Linked DNA regions of Rattus norvegicus. The protein of the gene in region 1 interacts with the protein of each later gene in a biochemical or structural test. Links are inferred from orthologs where the notes say so. Each region holds a gene or a part of one and is shown on either strand. Other genes may lie near its edges. The genes, in order: Rab5c and Rbsn.

Evidence for each region.
Region 2: the proteins of Rab5c (region 1) and Rbsn form a complex in vitro, tested with the Homo sapiens proteins (2 studies listed by BioGRID and IntAct, with this or other methods). The link is inferred for Rattus norvegicus from reciprocal best matches to the Homo sapiens genes RAB5C and RBSN.

What each region holds. Positions count from the first base shown.
Region 1 is NC_086028.1:86,163,985-86,167,897, forward strand, and holds the start of Rab5c (ras-related protein Rab-5C), read right to left. Parts: upstream 2,466-3,913; 5' UTR 2,359-2,465; intron 1-2,358. UniProt on the Homo sapiens protein: The small GTPases Rab are key regulators of intracellular membrane trafficking, from the formation of transport vesicles to their fusion with membranes.
Region 2 is NC_086022.1:126,259,607-126,263,419, forward strand, and holds part of Rbsn (rabenosyn-5), read right to left. Parts: intron 1,599-3,813; coding exon 1,458-1,598; intron 1-1,457. UniProt on the Homo sapiens protein: Rab4/Rab5 effector protein acting in early endocytic membrane fusion and membrane trafficking of recycling endosomes. Required for endosome fusion either homotypically or with clathrin coated vesicles.

The DNA.
Region 1 (3,913 bases):
TTCTAGCCGTCATGAGTTAGGTTTTGGAGAAATTATGACACACAGACGTTAGCAAATTCTTAGGCCCTGAAGAGTACAGGCTTGGGATTCTTAACTGTCATGGAGGCCACGGCAGAGGAAGAGGGTGGAATGTTGGGAAAGAGAGGGAGGCAAAAGCAAAGGCGAGAGATGGAAGGCTAAGAGTCTGTAGTCATGTCCTGGTTCACTCTTCCTGCAGGCTCCTTCACTTAACAAGCACAGCAGATAGGAGGGGAGCCTGCTTTTAGAAAAGATAAGGTTACATTTGCACCCAAGCTCCAAACACTGGGTCTGACCACTTCTAACTGTGTGGTCTTAGGGGAGAATCATCTCTAAGGTAGGGGTAAGAATACCACCATCTCCAGGATTCCTGTGAGGAATATGCAGGGGAAGAACCCTGGGGCTTTATATCTCATAAACACTAGCTCTTACACTCCTCCTGGAGTGGACAGGCAGAAAGGCCAACAAGGTGTGAAAAGCAAGAGGGGAGGTGAACAGCAACCTTAGAGGAACAGCAACCTCTCAGCAGTGACCCCTCTATCCCCAGCAGAGCGGCAACAGCTTTCTGCTGGGCCTCTACAATTTCTGAAAGCCAAAAGTGGCTGTAGGACCATGCAGAACTCTAGTGCCTTCTGTGTCACTGAGAGTTTCCGCAGAGGGGTGTTTTAAAGTCAGAGCTGGGAAGAGGATGCTCAGACAACTGGCAGAAACGCACATTAGAAGGTCCATCTGCCTCAGCCAAGACCCCAGGAATCACAATCCACTCCTTGGAAGGTAAGTCTAGCAGAAACCACTTCCTATAAGCAGGCACGGAGTCTCTGAGCCCACAGTGGGAGGTGGGGGGAGGGGATAGGTGTCTCACCTACCTGTTGAGACAGGTAGGAAGGGGTTTCTTGTTATCCAAAAAGAAGTGAAATAAATGCATCACAAAATTAGCCTAAAATGTTATAACTGTCTAGAAGTAGGTCAGAAAGATCTCAGAGCAAAAAATGTTTAGGTTCAGTGTGGTAAGAAGCATCTTAAGTTGACCGGAGACGCCCAAGGACTGAATGGCCTTCTTACTCTTCTCCTGCTGCAAGACAGCAGGGGTCAGCTGTGGCCTCAGAATCAGGCTACTCCTCAGGAAGGCAGTCTCTGACCTGTACTTTGGCCACATAACGAGAACCTTCCAGCTTGGTCAGAGATAGCAGCCATTTCACACACTTAAGTCCCAAGGAAAACACAAGGACCCTGTGACAATACAGTAGGGGAACCAGCACTTTCTGCACATATAAGCAGTTCCTTTACCGACGAAAACTAAACCTGCCACTGTGATGTGGCCTAGCTGCCCTGTAGTAAAGTCCAAGCCAAGAGGGGAGGGGAGAGACTCCAGTGAGGAGTGGACCTGTTGCTCAAGTGTATGGTGTTGTGTGATTCACGGTGCTTAAGAGATGGTCCCTCAGTTTCACGCTACTCATATTTGGTCTATTCTCCTCCCTATAGATAAGCAGACAGCAGTCCCTCTAAGGAAACCACTCACATGCTCTGGAAGGACAGGGCTGAGCCTGAAGCAGGGGGAAGGAGGAGGGGAGACAGAAGATAATGAATGAGCAGATCCTCCCTGATCTGTGTGTCGCTGGGATTGAGCAAAGCTCAGCTAAATTCTTTAGAAGCAGGAAGACGGACACACACAGAGAGAACTTAACACTGGGCCGGGAGCATAAAGTGCAGCACAAGGAGAAGGCTGCCGATTCCTTCTAAGTGGCCCAGAATTCAAACTCTGCTGAGGTCCTAGTAGGCTCGAGAGGAAGTAAGGAACTGTAAAGGCGCAAACACACTTCTGTGCGTGTAGAACATTCTCATTTAGACACCCCCATCCCCACACACCCCAAAGGAAATAGAGATAAAAAAAATTCCTTCAGGACTGCAGGGGACAACTGGTTTTTTTGGTTGGGATTTTTGGTGGTGGTGGTGGGGACACAGGTAAGGAAACCAGGAGAGACAGCACTCTCCGCCACCCCTAAAAGAGAAGGGAGACAGGTTCCTTCACACCTGGTAAAGACTCTTTGATTCTGAAAGCTGAGGGGGTGGGGAGCGGAACTTAGAGTCCCTCTCTCCCACAAGTGGACTGGACAGGCCAGAGGAGAGCCTCAAAAGACTCCCAAGGGCTCCCGAAGTACAGGTTAGCGAAGGAAAGAGGAGCTCCCCCTTTGGCCCGACGCCCTGGTGAACCCCTAAGAGGGGGCTACGGGTCGGGGGTGGGGTCAGTGTCCCCCTAAGCTAAGGTTGGGCAGGAGGAAAGGGTATCCCAGGGAGGCTTCCACACAGGTAAGACACTGGTCCTGGGACAGGCACACTCACCGCGGCTCCGGGGCAGCAGCGTTACTTGGGCCGGGGCTCCCACAGACTCCGCTCCTCTCCCCCCGCCCCGGCGGTGTCCCAGGCTCCGGCCTCCACTTCCGCCTTTCAGCCGCTCCGGATCCGGATCTTCAGCTCTGCCCCGCCTCTCTATAGTCTCAGGTAACTGACAGAAAGGACAGACCAATGGGAGACACTCCGATCCTACCCACAATCAACGCGGGAAAGGAGGAAGAGTGCGCGCGAGGAATGGCGGGACTTGTAGTTCTCAGCACAGGGAGGAGCCGGGGGCTGCCTGGCACTTGGGTTTAGGGTGGAACCGGCTACTGGTGGGGCGGAGCCGGTCTAGGCCTGCTTATCGCGTCACTGCCAGTCCCAGGTGCCCCGAGGGAAGGCATGTGGCTGAGCTTTCCAAGAGGGTAGACCGAGGACTGTTCATGCAGAATTGAGAAAGGAAAAATATGATGCTCATGTAGCCGCGTAGACCAGTCGTGTGCCCTCGGCAACTTAGAGAAGCCAAGGCCCATCCAGGAGGCTGATTATTGAGGACATTCTATTATAGGAAAGGCCAGGTGTGATGGCTTGCTCCGAAGGCAGAGGCTGGCAGATCTCTGTGAGTAATCGCAAGGGTTATGTAGTAAGACCCTGGCTTTAAAAAAAAAAAAAAAAAAAAAAGTGATGAAAACTCTGTAGAATGGGGCCTCTGGGGGCTAGCAAAATGGCTCAACGGGTAAAGGTGCTTGCAGCCAAGCCTGATTGAGTTCCATCCCCAGGACTCACATGGCGTAAGACAGACTCCCACAAGTTGTCTTTTGACATTCACCTGTGTGCCGTGGCATTTAAGAACTCATCCTAGGGCTGGAGAGATGGCTCAGCAGTTAAGAGCACTGATTGCTCTTCCAGAGGTCCTGAGTTCAAATCCCAGCAACCACATGCAACCATCTGTAATGAGACCTGCTCTCCTCTGCTGTGTCTGAAGACAGCTACAGTGTACTTATATATAATAAATAAATCTTAAAAAAAAAAAAACCTCATCCACCCTCCCCCAAATATGTGAAGAAATGCAATTTTTAAATTACATCCAGGAGTTCTCTGGATGATACTAGATGGGATGAAAAGCAGACCTGCTGCTGCCACAGGCAGGCTCTCTCTCTCTCTCTCTCTCTCTCTCTCTCTCTCTCTCTCTCTCTCTCTCTCTCCCTTTCTTCCACATAAGCTCTCACTATGTAGTTCTGATTGGCCTGGAACTCGCTTTGTAGATGGGTTGTATTTTAATACCCAGAGATCCCCCTGCCTCTACTTCTGGAGTGCTGGAATTAAACGTGTGTGTAACCACCACGATGGATTAAGCTTTCTTTCTTTCTTAGGTTCTGCTCCCAAACATACCAGGGCCACCTCCACCCCCAATCAGAATTAGCTCTACTTCAAGGACTGCCTGTGTTCTCTCTACCCATCACTATAGATGAAAACCACAACCCCCTTCTACCACAGGTCAGTTCTATTTCTGGTTTTTCTAATTCCTTCTCTATGAATTAGGACCACTTCTGCTTAACACCAG
Region 2 (3,813 bases), on another chromosome or scaffold:
ATGTTCACAAAATTGAATAACCGAAAGAAATGTCAGACCATTTTTATCAGTTTGAAAGTAGAGAAGAAGCTAGGCATAGTGGTATGCACTTTAATCCCAGCACTCAGGAGGCAGAGGCAGGCAAATCTCTACGTTCTAAGCCAGCCTGATCTATATCATGAGTTCCAGGACAGCCAGGACTACATATAGTGAGACCCCATCTCAAAAAAAGAATAGAGCTGGGAACGAACCTCTTGCACAGCGCTTGCCCGGCCCTCAGGTTCTACTCCCAGCTCTTGCAGTTTAAAAAGGAACTAACGAGGACAAGTTATAACTGTGCGCATGAGGAAAGTAAGCTGTACAGTGCCCTCACTTGTCAGATAACCTGAAAGGAGACAGATCTGTCAGTGGGGTCTACGGCTAGGCTGACACAAGAAAGCCCCAGAATGATGGCCCTGCTGCTGTAGTTTGGCCACTATTTGATCCTCAGAAGGTTCCTAGAGACACACACACTCAAAGGAAGGCACGCATACAAAGCATTTAGCACAGTGCTTAATTAAGAGATCTCAATTCGTTCCCTTCCACTTTCTCTCCTTAGCAGGACTTAAGGCCAGTAAGATGCCTATCCCTGAGGGTTTACTGATTGATGCTTTCTCAGTCAGCTCCTAGAACAATACCTAACCCAGTCAAAGTAGGAGGGTGACCTGTTGAGAAGAAAGGGTTCAGTGGGAGAGGGAGAGGATCAGAGAGGATGACAGATGAGGGTGTAATGACTAATCTTGGCTGTCAACTTTACAGTATCTGAATCAACTAAAATCCAAGCTGCCAAGGACTCCTATGAGGAATTTTCTTAATTAGATTATTTAAAACAAAAAGATCTGTCCTAAATCTGGGCCACATCTTCTGGTGGCAGCCCACATAAAAGGCTATGGAAGAAGGAACTTTGCTTTTTAGTCTGTTTGTCCTCAATCTCAATGGCAAATTCGCCCATTCTGTCGCTGCAGAATCCAAATTCTTCAGGACTGCAGCACAGACTGAAGCCCAGCAGCTCTCTAGGAATCCATCAGTTTGTGACTACAGAGACTAACAACTACAAGATTCTCAGCCTCTCCGTCTTGAGATAGCCAGTTTTGAACTACTAGAAACATATTCTATATTCTATCTGTTCCTTTAGAGAAGCCGGACTAATACAGGGAAAATATAATCAATGTGTGTGTGTGTGTGTGTGTGTGTGTGTGTGTGTGAGAGAGAGAGAGAGAGAGAGAGAGAGAGAGAGAGAGAGAGAGAAAGAGAGAAAGAGAGAAAATAAAATTTTAAAATTGAAAGAGAGAGAGAAATAAAATTTTAAAATTGAAAGAGAGAGAAATAAAATTTTAAAATTGAAAGAGAAATAAAATTTTAAAATTGAAAAAAAAAAAAAAGACCTAAAACAGGGTAGATATCTCATAAGCACTGAATGAATTAATAAATGTTCTTACCAAGCTCTTGAGGTTCCCACATGTAAGGATCAACCCCTCCATAGCTGAATGATTCGTATCCTTGGGTCCCTGGCTCCACACGATCATCTCCTTCTCGTTTCAACAACTTGTTCTTTGCTTTCCTAGCCTTCTGAACAAGATCTTGAAAAAAAATAAAACAAATACCACAAATAAGCCCAAGATTATATAAAAGAAATAAATGCACAAGAATATTCAGATCTCAAGAGAAATACAGCAGTAAGTAAAGACCTTCTTACCAACCCCACAGAAGTCAGGACCAGCAGAATGCTATTCATGTTTCCAACATACAGGCTAAGTACCTGCTTACTGCCAAGTTTAATAGTCCATCTAAACATAAAGAGCCAAATCGGGGTTGGGGATTTAGCTCAGTGGTAGAGCTCTTGCCTAGCAAGCGCAAGGCCCTGGGTTCGGTACCCAGCTCAAAAAAAAAAAAAAAAAAAAAAAAAAAAAAAAAAATTAAGAGCCAAATCAAATTCAATGAGGGAACCAGGATGGTAGATTTTTGTTTGTTTTCAGACAGGGTCTGTCTATGTAGCCCTAACTATCCTGGATGACACTACACTTACCTTGAACTAGCAGACATTCACCTAAACTAAACTAGTTCTCCCACCCAAAACTAAAGGTGTGTACTACCATGCCTAACACAGTCTTCACTTTGTAAACACGACTAAACTATCCTAAACAAAAAGGGCAGTCCGCACTATTTAACCACTTTGGACAATAAAGGGACTGTCTGCTGAGTAGATGTAGTCTTTCCAAAGGAGCCCAGTTAACCCACCCATGCATCTTTGAAAATAAAACAGAAGCTACAGTCAATTTTCAACCATCTTTTCTTCTGGCTACTGTAAAAGGGCTTAAATACTGCTGGACCAGGGTTGGCTCAAACCCACAGACACTTTCAGAAATAGTGAGTTGATCTTGTCTACTTAAAACTGACTCCAAGGGGTTGGGGATTTAGCTCAGTGGTAGAGCGCTTGCCTAGCAAGCATAAGGCCCTAGGTTCGGTCCCCAGCTCCGGGAAAAAACAAAAAAAAACAAAAACAAAAAAAAACAAAAAACTGACTCCAAGAGGCAAGTGAGATAGCTCAATAGATAAAAAAGTACTTGCCACCAAACTTAAAGACCTGTGTTTGACCACCAGCACCCAAATGATAAGAAAGAACTTACTCCAGGAAACTATCCTTTGACCTCCACAGATGTACCATGGCATATGCCCCAACCAACACAAAATAGATGAATAAATGTAATTTTAAAAACTGCCTTCGAAACCTGATACCTGTATGCAATATTTTGGTATTCCATTTTTTTGTTATAAATATGAATGCTATTAAGGCCTACATAAAATATTAAGGTCTAGATAGAATGTTAAGGCCTGTTATCTGTCTAGTGCTGTTACTAACATTATAAGGAAACTTTCTCATATATTGCTTCTGTTACTAGGAAACTTTCTCATGTCCAAGTTGATTATGTATTCTATTATGCTCTGTACCCTTGGAAACCAATCATGATAAAATCAGTAAAACTGCTTTGTATAGTTACCCACAACAAGTTTGGACCTGAACTCCACCCAGCAGCACTTCCTGAACCTGTGTATAAGCTTTTATGGTATTTGCTTTTATAAACTCCCCCTGGGATGGACCCTAACATAAGAGAGACACCTGTACCACTATAAGAAACTATTTGGAAAAGACTTCCATTTTAAGTAGAGGTCAAGTGAACTTTAAGTTCCCAAGACTTCCCTGGGAACTGACATACTACTTGGCAGAAAGAAAAATGTATGTGGGTAACTGACATCCTGGTTAGCAAGTTAAGACATGAATGTTAGACAAGTCCCATCTTGGTTGACAAGTTCAGACAAGGCAAGTCTTCTACCATAGTTGAATCCTCCAACCAATGGGAGCGGGGTAAGTGCACAGCGAAGGCATGGTCTATAAAGAAGTCCCCATCCCTAAATCCTGACTGGTGAAATAACTTGTCACAGATGTTTGTAAATTTCAGGCTTATTAAAAAGCCCTACAGGATCTTGACTTATGGTCACAGTCAGCTGCCAAGTCTGACCTGTGGCCCTGATCCATCAGTCTGGGGTGTGGCATTCATTAAGTCATACCTCTTTGACTGAGCTTGGTGTTTGAGTGGCTTGTGCAGCGATTCCCAAACGCCTGTGAGTATGATGGCACACACCTCTAGTTTCAGCACTCAGAAAAAAAGAGACAAGCAGATCTCTGTAGGTTCAAGAACATACTGATCTAAACAGTGAGTTTAGGCCAGCCAGAGCTACACGGAGAGACCATAGTTCAAAATAAATTAAATAAATAGCATAAAAATTTGAAGGATC